Linked DNA regions of Notamacropus eugenii. The protein of the gene in region 1 binds, or shares a complex with, the protein of each later gene. Links are inferred from orthologs where the notes say so. Each region holds a gene or a part of one and is shown on either strand. Other genes may lie near its edges.

Region 1 (8,298 bases):
CAGACTTTCTGTTAAACACTTTCCCTGAAGAGGATATTGATAAGACAAAATAACAGATTCTGTTTTAAGACATTTCCTAACAATTAAGCCAGAGTGGGAGTAAAGAACTGTTCTAAAATGGGTTGAAAGTAACAGCAAACTATTTTGGATTCTCAGTAATAATCTTCGAAGTTTATGGAGGTATTCAATAGCAACAAGAGTCTGTAGGAAAAAATTAAGGTTTTATATATTAATGCTAATTATTTTTATACTTATACACCCATATATACTAGGAACTGAACCTTGCAAAACTGAAAAAGAACATTTCTCAGTTATTTATTTAACCATGCCTAGAAACTAGTGGGGGTATTTTTAGAAAGCTACGGTTTCTAACATTACTTACAAATTAACTAGAGGCCTTTGGGCTAGGAAAAAAGGTGTGATATTATTAATCTCTAGTATTATGCAGCAATATGGGAAGAATGGGGGGGGGGGGGGCGGCAGTGGGAAATAAATAGTTCCCATAATGTTATCTCCCAATCCATCCAGTCATTTCCTTTATTATCTGAAAAGTATAGAGAGACCTGATCAGCAATAACCTCAACATTCTCTTTGCTACCAGCAAGCAGATTTTTGCTGGCTTGTCAATTTGTCTGTAGGGGAAAACAAGGAACAGCACTAGCAAAACAATTTTCTAGTAGGTTCCAAAATGCTAATATAGCAACTCATTTATCTACTAGGTGGTGAAGAGGATAGAGCTCTGGGCCTAGAGTCAGGAAGACCTGAATCCAAATCTGGCCTCACTTAATAGCTTTGTGACCCTGGGAAAAATCATTTAACATATGTTTGCCTCAGTTTCCTCAAATTTAAAATGGGGATAATAATAGCACTTACCTTTCAGAGTTGTAGTGAGGATCTAATGAGAGAATATATAGTTAAATTTGTATAATTGTAAATTATACAATTATAAATAAAATTATAAATTTGTATAATTGTAAACTGTTGCGCACAGTACCTGGCACATAGTATATGTTATATAAATGTTGTCTATTATTACTCACGTTATTTTCTTAGGGAATGGATATGTGAGGTTTGACTACATTTAGATGTCTTTCATCCAAACATACTGCCTAAACTCCCTGTAGGTGTTCACTATTTAAATATGGAAAACGAAGAAACCAGGGGCACTTTCATGCTATTTCTTCCACAATTCTTAAACAAGAAATGAGGAAAACAAACTCAAGAGGGGAAATAGCAGGTTATTTGATAAAGAATGTCATAAACTACTAGCATTTAACTGAAAGACAATTAAGAAGATCCGAATTTTCATATGTAGAATGAACCAACCCAGAATCTGAAATCAATAATCTACTCATTATAATCCAATGTTAAAATACCATGTTACTTAGTTCTTTCCTCTGAATCAACTTAACTTTGCTCATGTATTTGTACAACACATACAAGCACAAGAGTATTCCACATTTTCTAAAGCCAACATGTGTGGGTAGGGTATAAGAAAGCACCACAACCTATAAAGAAAATGAGCTTTATATTATGTTCACATCTTAATCAACAAAAAAATTAAACAAAGTAAAAATTAATCGGATTAAATAATACATTAGTCCCCTTAGTCTAATTTTAATTATTTTGGCTGCATACCTAAAACATAATTTTTTTCTTACATTATTTCAGTTTACACTACAATTTGCTGAAAAAAATCATATACACTTAAGAGGAAACTAAAAATTATATTTTAAAATACTCAGCACTAAATTATTTCCAAAAGTTACTCTGTAGCAACCTCTCTTCCTTACTTCTACCCCAAACCTTTGTCCTTTTCTCCCTATAGCAAAAAGTACTCACCTGTAGTTTTGAGATATTGCTTAAGCAATATTTCCTGCAAAGGCATCCTTATTTACAGTCTCTATTTCGTTCATAAAATTATATTCATCTTGAAATAATACCCAATACCTCACATTTGACTTACTTTAGCTATATCCAACCTTAGAGTTTGTCCTTTATGATACAAAGAAACCATACATTCCAGCAATAATTCTAATTGATTCTAAAATTATGGTTAAACGTCTTAACCCCTATTTTAAAAACAAAATATATGCAAATATTTGGAAGTAGAAATTTACAATCCCCCAAGTCTCCCCCTTCCCCTCATCCCAATATCTGTTCTGTGAAAGTAATTTTACTGTTTGTAAAAGTAATATTACTGAATTGTTTAAATTTTAGTTACCTAGTTACATCAGGAAGCCACTGAACAGTAAGGCTGGGCCATTCGAGGGCATGTGTCATAACCAAGTCATATAAAAATGGGGTATTCTTTTTCCAGATTTTATATTCTTCATTGATAACCCGCTCCTCCACCGTATCTTCAAACACTGAAAGTAAGAGAACACTAATTAATATGCTTAACTAGTCTAGGAACTTCAAAGAAGCTCAAGTTTTGAGAATAGGCATATATGGTTAGAATATGAGCTCCTTGAGGGCAGAAACCTTGTTTGCTGCCACTGTTATCCCTGGCACTCAGCACAATGTAAGGGAGATACTTAACAAATACGTAGTGAAGGATATCTTTAGTCAGGGCTAATATGATTCTATTAGACAAATGTTTTGAACTTTTTAAAACCTACCACATCTGTCATATTTTGGCCCTTCCGGTTCTGCACAACTATTAAAGAGTATAACCACAAAGACTTTCCTGGCAGCCTTAATATCTAGTCATTTATTTACTGCAAAAAACAAGCCAATATTTTGCAAATACAGTTTGGCCATTATGTAAGTAATTATTTCTTGGGAATTCAAGTTTAGGCACAGCTGACATCTGCCATTCCACCATGAGTCTCCAGAACCTAGTACTGCAAGATGCCCTTTCAATTACACAGCAGAGTCTGTGGAGGGGAAGGCGGCAATCTGACAGGAAAATAGGAATCCAGATTTCGGTGGATGGCTCCTCCAAAATAGAAATGACATCTCCAGCCCTCCACGCACTACACCAACTCAACAGACGTGCCCTTTGACCATACGTATTTGTTACAATCGTTTTTTTTCCAATGGAAAGTAGCGGGAGAGAGGGGAAAAAACCGTATTCATCATTTTTAAAAATCAAATTTAATTTTTAAAGCTATGCCTCTCCCCCTTTGCCAACCTGCGAAGAACAAAACGAAAACTAGGGCAGTTTGGTTGGGCCTCGCGGCCGCACCCGAAACCTGGGGTAGCCGGGAGCCCGGGCACCCTGGTCTCAAGGATGGTGCTGAAACTGCCGCAGGACCAAGGGCACGGAGAAAGAAAAAGCACTTGTCTCGCCTGTTTCCCAGCCCCCCGGAAGTGCCCAGGGACCTCCGGGCCGCGTCCCCGCCCTCGCCTCCCCCAAGCTGTCCCCGCCGCCCAGAGCCTTGTTCGCGCCTTTCTGGGGCTGACACCCCGGGCGCCCCCCCCCGCCCTGGCTTCCTTCCACGACCCGCGCACGCACGGAGCGCGAACCCCTCCAGGAGCAACCTCTTCCCCGTAACCCCCCGTTCCCCTCTTACTCTCTTTATTCGCCATCTTGTGTCGGGCAGTGCGCCCCGCCGGCCGCCAGGCCCCTCGGGCGCCGTCTCGATCTCCCCCGCTCTGGCCGCGCGACGCTAGCCCGCCGGGGCGCAGACAGTCTCCGCCGCGTCACCCAGCGCCCACAACCCGGAGCCCCGGACGCCTCCGCCACTTGCTTTCTAACCCCCTCCCCCCCTTCCCCCCGTCCTCCGGAGTCAGGCCGTGCAGCGCTGCTTCCCCCGCAGCCGTGGCTGCTCGGACCCCGACCTCTTCCCTCTCTCTTTCCAAACTTGGAACGAGACTTTCAACCCGCGCCTACCAGCCCGCTCCGGTCGCAAAGGCGCATGCGCACTACGAGTCCCTAGAGGGCGGGACAGGAGAGGAGAAGGCGGCCAAGGAGGGTCAGAGAGCAAACGGCGCCTCCGCCGCAACCAATGACAGGCGGCGCCTAGGCGCGCGTGCGCACTGTAGGGTGTACTGCTGCGGGGGCGGGGGGAAGGAGAGAGAAACTGAGAGACTGGGAGAGAGAGGCGGGGAATACTCGGGATCCGCGGGCGGGAGCTGGCGCGCACCTGGCCAGTCCTGCCTTCCTTTTCCCCTCCCCTAGTTATAGAGGAGATTTTGCACGTGGCGTGGAAGTCCTAGTAGTATTGCACTAACCGGGGAAATGACTGCGTGTTGGGGAGCGGCCGCCAGGAAGCTGCGGTTCTCGAGTCTTGCGAAATCCATAATCGTGTCCTGTGTTGCTAGAGGAAAGACCCTTGACCTTCGCAAGCGCCCTTGAAGGAACTCCCCGCGCAATGAGGTTGTCCCCTGCAGCGCGCAGGTGAAAAGGTGGGGGTGGGCGGTGCTCTGCGTGCGCTCGCCGCCGGCCGGCTTCCCCAGGAGCGCGCGTTCGTCGCATCTGGAGATCCCTGGAACGCCCGCCCTTCCAGCTTGGAGGTCCTCGGAGCCGGCGGATCAAAGCGCTTTAAAGTGGAGGCGCCCCCTCCCATGCGTCTCCGGGAGCCTGTGGGCTGGCGGAAGAGCTGCCCCTCCCTGGATGGTCGGACCGCCCTCGCCGGAATGGGGGGCCCCGTTCATTTGGGACCCCATGACAGCGGAGGCGCCGCTGAGGAGGAGGGGAAATCCGCCTGCTTCTGTGCCGGCTGGAGCCCGCTCAGGGTGCTTAGACCGGGTCATAAAATGGGCAGAAATGTCCTTCTAAAAGTCGTTCTTAGCAAAAAAAGGCATCAACTTAAGTATAAAATGCAAAGAAAACCAATTCTGTTGAAATTCACTTATCAGCTTTTTTATTTACGTCCACAGGCCTCAGGTGAAGAACTCTTCTAGACAGTTCATTCCTCCAAATGGAATTTTTGTTATTTTGTCTGATTCAAAAGTTCTGGAACTACTTTGTGTCATGGTCCCCATTGGCTGTGTGGTGAAGCCTCTGGACCTCTTCTCAGATTAATGTCTTAAAGACGTAAAATAAAATACATAGGGTTACAGTTCTATCAAAATAGTTATTATTTTTTAAGTTCACAGACCCTAAAAGGCCTCGAAATGGTGCAATGGAAGAAACAAGAGGAACTGCTTCTGTGCAGCCTTGGAGGGTCCATTCCTTTAGTCTTCATGTATAAAATGATAGGGTTTGCCTAGATGCCAGTCTGGGCCCTTGGAGCTGTAATTCCACCCTTCTGGACTGGACTTTGTGTTCCTCTTACAAAATCAGGGCTGTGCATGCTGTGGCATCCTTTGCTTAACTTTGCCTCCCCTCTTTCAGGGGAAGCACTGCCTTTCTCAGAAGAACCAAGGCATAGTGCCCATGGGGCCACTTCATTCTTTGGCCCTGGTCAAATAGGCATTAACCCCTCCTGGCCCTGAAGAAAAGACTGATAGAGGAGGAGGTTGGCTGGATCTGGGTATGGAGGAAGTGGACACTGTAGGCTCCACACAGGGGAAGTGAGAGACCTGAGAAGGGAATGATGGTGCGGGGATACCTCAATACTGAGAAGGCTAACCGGGGGTTGAAAACTGTAGGCTCTATATACTCCTGTGAGAAAGGGCCCCACTGTGAAAATACATAAGGAGTAGAGGAAATAATAATAGTAATGCCTTGCTTGAATCACACTTAATATTTTTAAAGTGCTTTCATTGTACAACCTCATTTGATCTTCAAATGAAATAGGAAAGATATTGTTAATCTCTATTTTACAAGTGATGTCACTAAGACAAGGAAATGAAATGACATATGGGCAATTGTTTAAATAGAGTGAGAGGTTTAGTTTTCCTAATTTTCCTGTTTTCCAACTCAGTGATTATTTGACGATGCCATGCTACCTTAGACTTGATGTGGGGAAGGACGGCCTTGGTATTAATTGACAAAAGCTATGGAGAGTTAAAGACAACTTACTGTAGCAAAGAGAGCACTGGACTCGGATTCAAGCTACTCAGCACTGTAACTTACTACTTGTGGGCAAGTTAAGGAGTGTATTTATTTATACAATGAGGGGGTTGAATTAGATGATCTCTTAAGGTCTCTTCCAGTTTATAAATATGTGAAAACAGACTTGCTATTTGTGAAAACCTAGGGTTATTGTTCTTTCCATAGTACAGGGTGTATGACCTTTCGCTGGCAAGAGAAGTATTATAATAATAGTAATAATCCTGTGCCTTAAAGTTTACAAAATGCTTTGACTTCTCCTTAATTCAATTTAATAAATATTTCGTAAAAGGCTTCTATGTGCCAGGTTGTGTGCTGGTATTTTAGGGATGGAAAAAAAATGACATTGTCCCTGTCCTTAAAGAGCATACATTCTATTGAGGGAAACAACATGTACACGGACAGGTAAGCTTAAGATACACTGATAGTTTAACTAATATTGAACCATCCCTGAATCCCTGTTATTAATCCCACCTGGTTATAGTGTATGATCCTGGTGATAGATAGCTGTAATCACGTCAACATTCATTAGAGAAATTGGTCGATAGTTTTCTTTCTCTGTTGTGGCTCTTCCTGGTTTAGGTGTCAGCAGAATATTTGTGCCATAAAAAGAATTTGGTAGGACTCCTTCTTTGCCTATTTCCCCGAATAGTTTCTATAGTTTTGGAATTGTTCTTTAAATGTTTGGTAGAATTCACTTGTATCCGTCTGGCCCTGGGGATTTTTTTCTTGGAGAGCTCATTGTTGGCTTGTTCAATTTCTTTTTCTTAAATGGGGTTATTTAAGTATTCTGTTTCCTCTTCTGTTAATCTAGTCAGCTTATGTTTTTGTAAATATTCATCAATTTCACTTAGTCCATCAGATTTATTGGCATATAATTGGGCAAAATCGCTTTTAATTATTGCTTTAATTTCCTCTTCATTGGTGGTGAATTTATCCTTTTCATTTTTGATACTGGTAATTTGGTTTTCTTATTTCTTTTTTTTAAATCATATTAACCAGTGGTTTATCTATTTTATTGGGTTTTCCTCCCCACAAAAACAGCTCAGTTTTATTTATTAGTTCAGTGGTTTTCTTTCAGTTTTATTAACCTATCTCTTGATTTTTCAGGATTTCCAACTTGATATTTGATTGGGCATTTTAAATTTGTTCTTTTTAAAGCTTTTTTTAGTTGCATGCCCAGTTCATTGATCCGCCCTTTCTCTGCTTTATTGATATAAACATTTAGAGATATAAAATTTCCCTTAAGTACTGCTTTGGTTGCATCTCATAAACTACGGTGTGTTGTCTCATTGTCATTCTCTTTGATGAAATTAGATTGTTTCTTTAATTTGTTGTTTGACCCACTCATTCTTTAGGATTAGATTATTTAGTTTCCAATTAGTTTTTAGCCTATCTTCCTATGGCCCTTTATTAAATGTAATTTTTATTACATCGTAATTTGGAAAGGATGAATTTAATATTTCTGTCTTTCTGCATTTGTTTGCAGGGTAATTATGCCCTATGGTCAAATTTGTATAGGTGCCATGTAATGCTAAGAAAAAAGCATGTTCCTTTCTATCCCCAATTTTCTCCAGAGGTCTATCATATCTAACTTTTCTAAAATTCTATTCATCTCCTTAACTTCTTATTTTGTGGTTAGATTTATCTAGTTTTGAAAGGGGGAGGTTGAAGTCTCACCCTAGTATCATTTTGCTTTCTGTTTCTTCCCATGACTCATTTAACATCTTCTTTAGAAATTTGGATGCTATACCATTTGGTGCATATATGTTAAGTATTGATATTGCTTCATTTAACAAGATTAGATCTATTTTTGCTTTTGCTTTGTCTGAGATCATGATTGCTACCCCTGCTTTCTTTTTACTTTAGCTGAAGCAGAATATATTCTGCTTCAGTCAGTCTTTTACTTTTACTTTCTGTGTGTGTCTCTGGTTCAAATGTGTTTTTTGTAAACAACATATTGTAGGATTCTAGGTTTTAATCCACTCTATCTGCTTCCATTTTATGGGTGACTTCATCCTATTCACATTCACAGTTATGATTACTAACTGTGTATTTCCCTCCATCCTGTTTTTTCCTTGTTTATACTTTTCTGTCTCCATTTTCATTCTGTCCTTCCACACCAGTGTTTTGCTTCTAACAACCTCTTCCTTCAATCTGCCCTCCCTTCTATTAGCTCTATCTCCTTTTCTTGTCCTACTCCCCTCCTACTTCCCTGTAGGGTAAGATAGATTTCTATACACAACTCAGTGTGTATGCTACTCCCTCTTTGAGCTAGATCCAATGAGAGTAAAATTCAAGCAGTGTTTTACCCCACCTCTCTTCTTTCCTTCCACTGTAATAGGTTTTTTGTG
Region 2 (8,041 bases), on another chromosome or scaffold:
TCCACAAAAGAAAAATTCTCAATTGCTATTACTGAGTTTTGGATTGGTGACTGAGAAAGCAAAGTCAATAACCTCATGCAATTCTTTTGCACAGCCTCATTACAAAACCAATTCTACCTATGGATGACAGTTAGTTGATTTCCTGTATTAACAATTTCTTCAAATGAAAGTTTTGACCCTAAATCTATTCTGCATTAACGCTGCTTTTGTTCTTAACTATCAAAAAAGTCTATTTCTCTCTTAGAAGCTTTAGAAATACAAAACAAATCCAAATCTCTCACCTACTTTTCTACAAGTATTCTTAAACCAGCTTTTCCAATAATCATTAAAGAATGCAAAAACCTAAATGCCTTCTTCTCAGGACATAAAAGCAGTAAAATATGTAAAACCAGCCATTCAGCACAAAATTGACATGCAATTACTCCTCCTTTGTAAGTGAAATCATTTTAAAAGCTCAAAACACAAAATACATCATTTTAAAACATTACTTAGAAATAATCTTCCTGAAATTCCAAGCCTTAAAAACCAGATACCATGTCCCAAAAAGTAAGAAAAAAACCTTTAGGAAGTAATATAGCAATTGTGCTATTTCAAACCATCTACTCCTCAAACTTTATATTAAAAACTAAAATATTAGTATTTGTAAACAAGTTTTCAAATTCAAAACATATACCTTACAGAGTTATGGTACCCACTGTAAAATGATAAAAACTTTTCTATTAAACAGACTGAACTACCAGTCTGTACCAAGTACAGACTTTTTAACTACTACCATATGAAAAGGCACATAATAAACCCACCAGTTTAAGACAAAGTTAAAGTGGATGATGACATTTTAAATTAATTAAAGGGAGTAGATATAACTCCTCTTTACTTAGCCTTCAAAAACAGGAGTTCAAGCAAGCTAAAACTGCCTTGCCAAAATGTCTCAACTCTAACTTTAAAAAACTTTCTCCAAAGGAGTGTTATTCAGTCTGCAAGGAGGACTGGAACCTTTCAGTCTGGCTCATTCAGTTGTGTGATCCTTAACAGAAAAAGACTCAAGAGAGAAGAGGAAGAGAAGAAGGGAGAGGGAAGGGGGGGGAGGAGAGAGAAAAAGAGGGGGGAAGGAAGAAGAGGGAGAGGGAGAAGGGGGAGAGGGGGGGAAAGGAGAAAGAGAGAGAGAAAGGGGAGAAAGGGGGGAGAAGGAGAGAAAGTACAAGAGCTGTGATTTCTTAAGGTGAATGCTCTTAGTGGCATACCAACTGACAAAATTGAAATTTGCACACATCACTAATATCTTCAAGAGATAAATGCTTAATGTTACTTTTTCATTTCAGTAAAAGAACAAAAAGAAAAAAATGAACATTTTCTTGCTTTCAGACACGAAATGGCATCTTTAACCCAATCAATGAGTTTCTTTAGAGGCAAAAGAATAGAAATGGATTAGTTAGATGAATTCAATACAAGTTGAAAAATAAAAATTTAAGTATTTCATACTACTTGAACATTTTATCTATAAATACTGATAAAAAATAAAAGGCATCATATTCTTGTAAATTAGAAATATGTTCTTATGAAAATTCACTTGGGGGGTGGAAAGGAGTCTTTAAAAAAGATGCTAATTGATCCCAATCGCCAAAATTACTGAAGAAAAACAGGACAGGCTGCCATTAAAAGCCTTAAATACATTTTTCCACAACTGAGTAAACTGCATCTATCTTGTTTAGCACAAAGCTTCAATCGTGATTTTTAACCAAATGCATTTCAGTACCGGTCTGAAGAAACTTCCTTGAGAAAACAGGAGAGTATGAGTTACCATGGAGGAGCCTCTTACCCACCAAGGCTGAACTTTCAAACTCAATCATCTAAGGTGAAAAAAATCTACACTGTAATAAATCCTCCAGTTCTTTTTTGAAATTGATCCAAAAGTTGATCTTCAAAATTTACTTTCAACGATCAACTCCATCTTCTGCAACAGGTGACATGAAACTCTACTCCCCAAGGAACATGGGGGTGCTTCTAAGAAGGAAACTGCTTACATGAGACTGAGGGAGACAAATATTGTCATCTGGGATTTTACAAAACTGAATTTTAACCAAATGTACTCTTTTAGTCGGATTTTTTTTTAAAGCAGCCACCTAAGGGCAACTGTTGCATGTGCCCGTGAACACACAAAGAATGAAAACAAACACACGTATGGCTAATTAAGGTTTCCCCCAACAACACAAGTGGTGGAGCTAATTCCTTGAGACAATTGCAAAACCACACAAAGCAAGAAATGTGAAAAGAAAAGAAGCACGAGTAGAAGCAACATTATGTACATGTTTACACCCTAAACAACTCCCTCCGTAGGATCCCTGCTAAGAGAGGAGACTCAGCCACTAAAGAGAATTCACATTAAGCCATGCAAAGTGGCTCGCTACACAAGAGGATTCTTCACCTTAAAAAAAAAAAAGGAAGGCGATGGCTACGTGCATGGCCGTCTCAATCCTGCCTGGAGGAAAGGCTGCACTAGCTCCAGTTTTGGGGGTGGGGGGAAAGTGGGGGAGAGGGAGAGAGAGAGTGTGGCCTGCCAACTGCAACAATGCAATCTCCATTTTGAACAATGCACCTCTTTCCTCTGGTAAATCTAGTTTTTTGCCACTTGATGTGCGATTGCATTTCCCCTCTCTTTGGGGGTGAGATGGGGGGTGCCGCTACAGCAGGATGCACCGTGCAGGACGGACACGGTGAGTGTGTGTGTGTGTGTGTGTCTTCGGGGTGGAGGGGTGAGGGGTGGATGGAGCAGGGGGAGAAGGTGGAGGGTGGAAGGCTAGCCCCGAGGCGGCCGGGCTGGGTGGGTACCTGGGGTGCTGCTGTAGGTGCTGTGGCTCCTGAAGCTGCTCTCGGTGCAATAGCTGGCATCGTCGTCGTCTTCCATTTCCTCGGGATAATCGGAGTCGTCGTCGTCGTCGTCCTCCTCCATAATATCTTCCTCCTCCTCGTCCTCCTCGGAGTCCTGCGTCTCCTCGGGGTCCCCCTCCTCCTCCTCCTCTTCCTCGGAGACCATGTCCTCGTCCTCGTCCTCCTCCTCGCTCTCGTGGTCATCGTACACCACTTTGCTGATGCTCCTCCTGGACGGGGTGGCCCGGGCCAGGTGGCCTCCGCTGCCGCCGCCGCCGCCGCCGCCGCCGCCCCCGCCTCCAGCTCTGCCTCCCCCGCCTCCTCTCCCCCCCCGGCCCGGGGCGCCGGCGCTGGGGCTGCTGCTGGGGGGGGCGGCCGGCGGCGGCGGCGGCGGCGGCGGCGGCGGTGGCGGAGGCTTCCTCCGGCTACCGCCGCCCCCCCTGGGGGAGCTCAGCCGCGCCTTGGGCGCCACCTCTGCCTGGGCGGCGGCCCACCTGCCCCGGCTGCTGCCTCGGTGCCGGGAGCGGAGCCCCCCGATGGGCCCGGCCGGAGGCGGCGGTGGCGGCGGCGGCGGCGGCGGCGGCGGCGGGGGAGCCGGGGCGCCGCGCTCCGCAGCGCCTGCCGCGGGCTGCTTGGGCGGCCTGCCCCGCCTGCCCCTCATGTCGGAGCCGAGGAGGGAGGGAGGGAGAAGGGAAAGCCGAGGGGGGGAGGGGGACCGGCCGAGAGGCGGCGGTGGGGAGCCGCTGGGGGCGGGGTGGGGAGCCCCGCGGGGTCGGGGCGGGGGGGGCCCGGCCGGCGGAAGCGGGTGGAGGGAGAAGGCTCAATCCGAATTGCCGGCGCCCCGCTCCCGATCGCCTCCAGCCGCCATCTTGTTTCTTCCCTCTCGCTCGGTGACTGGGGGAACCGACAGCGGCAGCAGGCCTGGAGCGCGGTCACGTGAACGCCCCCGCCGACGAGGCCGAGGCCGACGCAACGCAGCCTCCTCTAGGGGGAGCGCGGGAGCCTGCAGCCCGGCCCGGCCAGCTGGCGGGGGCGCGCAGAGGGGGGAGCCCGGGAAGCTTGGGGCCCGGGGCGCTGGGGGCCCTGAAGGACCGGAACGGGGGGCGGCGAGGGGTGAACTAGGTATTTTAAATGAGCCCTACCCCTCTTGGTGACGAAGACCCAGCCAGGGAGAGACTATCGGGACTATTACAGTCCTTACCTCTCCACCCATTCCTCCCCCCCCCCCAGTAGCTGAAAAACCCGAGAAAAGGGAAAACCCCCAAATTAAAGTGGTGGAGAGACCCCTCCCAACAAAACTGGAGCCAAACTAGATTTGCAGGCGCGATGCTGAGCAGTGCTGCATGGGGACCGGGGGAGGAAGTAGGAAGGGGGGGAGGAGCAAGCATTTCAGCCGGAGCGAGACACTGAGGCCGGGCACTGGGCAGCACCAGAGACAGAGACCCTGGGAGGGAGTGCCTGCGGGCGGCAGAGAGGACTCGCGAGCACTCGGGGAGCGCTGGGTCCTGGAAAATCCTGCCTCCGAACCCTAACCACGACACCTCTGAGGGTTCAGGAACCCCGCCCCTGCTCTTCCAGAGTAGCATTAAAGGCGACTCCAGAAGTGAGGACTGTACTGGAGAGGCACCAGCCCCGCCGCCCCGGCTCTGGGGTTTGACAGCTTCGGTCCGAAAGTGCCTCCCCACGCAGCCGGCACGCGCGGTGGCAATAACCCGCATTGATCCTCTTCCACTTCCCCATGCACCTAGACACGCAGAAGTGAAGTGCTCCTAAACTTCAGACAAACTTCCCAGTGCCACCCTTGCCCGGCTGTTTACTCCCAACGTTTGAGGCTTTCATTTTTAAAGACGACCACCTGTTAATTTCATTTTTAATTGGGTATATTTAGGATTTAATGTAGCATTGTATCTTAATTACAATACAATGGTGTTCTATGCCACTACAAGTCATTGGTAGGCCGCTGAGGTTCATAAGGAGGACTGGACCCTTTCTAAAGTAGTGGGACAAATCTTCCTCTATGTACACCTCGCACCCTCGTGGATCTGTGGCAAGGATATGCAAGCTACCCACATACACATACCTACACTATTCTGTGAGTTGGGCCAGTGAACGATACTGAGGAAACACCCTAACCTCTATGAACAGTAGAGCAAAGGATGATTGGGAGGAGGGAAAAGATCGAACTTCCCTATAGGTTTCTCCCAGAGTCCTGGCCTCCGTACACTTCTGACTACCTTTTAAATTGCAAGTGCCCCTGGTGGCATTCCGATGTTCAATTTTCTAAGCTAACATCTGAATTATCTGCTAAGGATTAGCTAACATTCAGCTGAGGAAGCAACAATGGGATACAGGAAAGGTACACAGAAGCAAAAAGGCGCTGATTTTTAAAGCTCAAACTTTACCGCTTTCACAATTAATGTTGTTTAACCCTTAAGGCCCTGATCATGCCACTCAAAACTTACCTGCATGTCACCTTCGACATGCTGGAACCACCATCATTACTACTGATAATAAATCAACTGACTCACACTTGCCATGTTGCTGTCACTGTGCTAGGTGCTGGGGATTGTTTCAAAAATGGAAATAATCCCTACTTTCAAGGAGCTTGTATATTAATGGAGGAGATCGTATATGTTATACCTCCTCTGGGCCCTCAAGTCTGCGGCTGGGATCACCAAAGTGGTGACTGTTACCTCTGGCTTTTGGGGTTTTTTATTTGTATAACCCAACGAGTGGCTACTCCTACTATTGTTGCTCATGAAGCCTGACCAGTGTGTTTTCTCTTATCAGCCGCAGCAAAAACAGTTGATACAAAATATTCTTTCAGAAAAAAAACCTGGAACACTTTCTCCAACAAATACACAGTCTCAAGTGATAGGCACATATTTAAAGAATACTAATGAGGTATTCAAATAGGGAATTCTCACAGCTAAGGCAACTTATAACTGTGGAACTGCAGGGACTTAATGTCATTTCTCTATCAAGTCCTCACAAAGCTCATTGTGGGTGAGATATTCATGAAGGCTGGGATTCTCTGATGCTAGTATAAACTGGCTTCCCTCAGAGCGTATCATCTCTGATGGATGAGTGACTGATTTGGTCTTGCTTGTCACAGAGAAAATTGTCTAAAAAACTAAAAATGAAAGTCTATGGGTTTTGAAGAGTAAACTAACCCCTCCTGTAGCTGCTAATGAGTATGTGGAAAAATTGTTTGGTTAAAAATCTGAATGGACCTGTAACTCCCCCAAATCCAGATTATGAGCTTCTCACCAGTCCCTGATATCACTCCTTGATAGGCAGCTGTGTCTTCACCATGTCCAGCCTTATACTTGTCTGGAATGTACACTATACTCTTTCAGAAAAGACAGAGGCCTTTACCCTTAGATTAGCAGAAACTCCAATTCTGTTCCTTCAGGACATTGGCTCTGAGGTTTTCACCTCTCAGGCAGAAGGTAGAAGAGTTATGGCCAGCGGTAAGTGATAGCCAGCTCATACTAAGCTGATTATCACATTTTCAATAGGAGCATTTATACCTCAAAAATCAGCACATGATTTTTTGATTATCTAAACTTGAGAAAGTGATAGGAATAAAACCATTATTAATGGAGATTAAACTTATGTATGGAGCATCCACCCTCACCCACCCCACGCCCCTTGCCAAGAGCTAGTTGTTAAACATTTTTACCAGTACAATGCTGGGTATAGCTTTTCCTTTTAGCCACTTTTCCCAGTTCAGGGCTGGGATCTTTCACTGAGGGACCTCATCCTAATTTACAGTGACCAATCAGTTGTTTGTTCAATCATGTTTGACTCTGCATGACCCCATGTCCACAGAAATTCCTTAGCAAAGATACTGGAGTGGTTTTTCATTTCCTTCTCTGGTATGTCCCCATTTTACAGATGAGGAACTGAAGCAAATAGGGTTAAGCGACTTGCCTAGAACCACATAACTAGTAAGTGTGTGAGGTCACATTTGAACTTAGAAAGATGAGTCTTCCTATCTCCACATCCAGCACTCCATCCACTTCACCACTCAACTACCCTGGCCAACTAGTATTTTTCCCAAAATTCCATTTCTGCAGGTTAGGTCATTATCAGCCTATAACCACGTAGCAAATAATCACCAAAAGGTCTGAGGTTTGGGGTGTCCCAGTTTGGGGGGGGGGTTGTTTTATTTTGTTTTTATCTCTAGTTTCCTCCTATTAGTCCTTGGAATGAATGGCTGAGGAAAAGGTACTGAGTTAGATAATTTCTGCCCTGGCAGCAAGTTCATTTTGTTTGCTGGTTGTTCAGATGCTTCCTAACTTTTTCATATACAAAGGAGAAGTTCAAAGGCCTTTAAGACACATTTTCAGTTGTATGAGACTCTTTGTGACCCCGTTTGGGGTTTTCTTGGCAAAGATTTCCTTCTCCAGCTCATTTTACAGATGAAGAAACTGAGATAAACAGGGTTAAATGACTTCCCTGTGTGGCAGGGTCACAGAACTAGTGTCTAAGCACTGATTTGAACTCAGGAAGATGAGTCTTCCTGAATCCAGGCCCATCTCTCAATCCACTAAACCACCTACCTGCCCATTGAGACAGGTCGGATGATTCTATCATATTTGAAAGACCCTTATTCAGATCTCATGTCAATCAATCAGTATTTATTAAGTGCCTACTTTATTAAGTGCCTGGGGAATCTAAGAAGGGGCAAAAGACAGTCCCTGTCTGTTATACATGTGTGGTTTTTTCTTTGCAGAAATATTTCAAATGCTTCTTTTATTGAATATCTATGTTTTTTCATTGATATTAGGCTTAGATTTTTAGGGTACATCCTTTTGGGTTGCATATTGAGCTCCTTTGCCTTTTCTTCCATTCTCTTCTATGATTTTTGGTGGGTGAAAATATTCTTATGTTATTCTAATCTCCTTTCCTTTACATCTTAAGGTTTTTATTCTGATTACTTCTTTGTCACCAAAATTGCTAAATTTAACCACTGTGTGTTTTGGAGTGTGAAACATAAGTTATTTTGTTTTCATGGAGTTCATCTATGAATTCTTTCAATTAGCTCTTTGTTATTCATATTCAAAAGTTCTAGGAAATTTTCTTATATTATTCTTAGCATTATGGTGTTCAGGCTTTTTGATTTGTCATGTTATTTGTTGGCTTATGATCCTTACGTTGTCTCTGGATC

What was found. Proteins that work in one complex are often made in the same cells at the same time.
Region 2: RBBP7 (region 1) and BPTF share a complex: the UniProt entries of both Homo sapiens proteins name them as parts of the BPFT-SMARCA1 complex. The link is inferred for Notamacropus eugenii from reciprocal best matches to the Homo sapiens genes RBBP7 and BPTF.

What each region holds. Positions count from the first base shown.
Region 1 is NC_092876.1:372,854,725-372,863,022, reverse strand, and holds the start of RBBP7 (histone-binding protein RBBP7), read right to left. Parts: upstream 3,871-8,298; 5' UTR 3,535-3,870; coding exon 3,519-3,534; intron 2,370-3,518; coding exon 2,225-2,369; intron 1-2,224. UniProt on the Homo sapiens protein: Core histone-binding subunit that may target chromatin remodeling factors, histone acetyltransferases and histone deacetylases to their histone substrates in a manner that is regulated by nucleosomal DNA.
Region 2 is NC_092873.1:328,043,585-328,051,625, forward strand, and holds the start of BPTF (nucleosome-remodeling factor subunit BPTF), read right to left. Parts: upstream 3,667-8,041; 5' UTR 3,527-3,666; coding exon 2,827-3,526; intron 2,712-2,826; exon of another isoform or gene 2,445-2,711; intron 1-2,444. UniProt on the Homo sapiens protein: Regulatory subunit of the ATP-dependent NURF-1 and NURF-5 ISWI chromatin remodeling complexes, which form ordered nucleosome arrays on chromatin and facilitate access to DNA during DNA-templated processes such as DNA replication, transcription, and repair.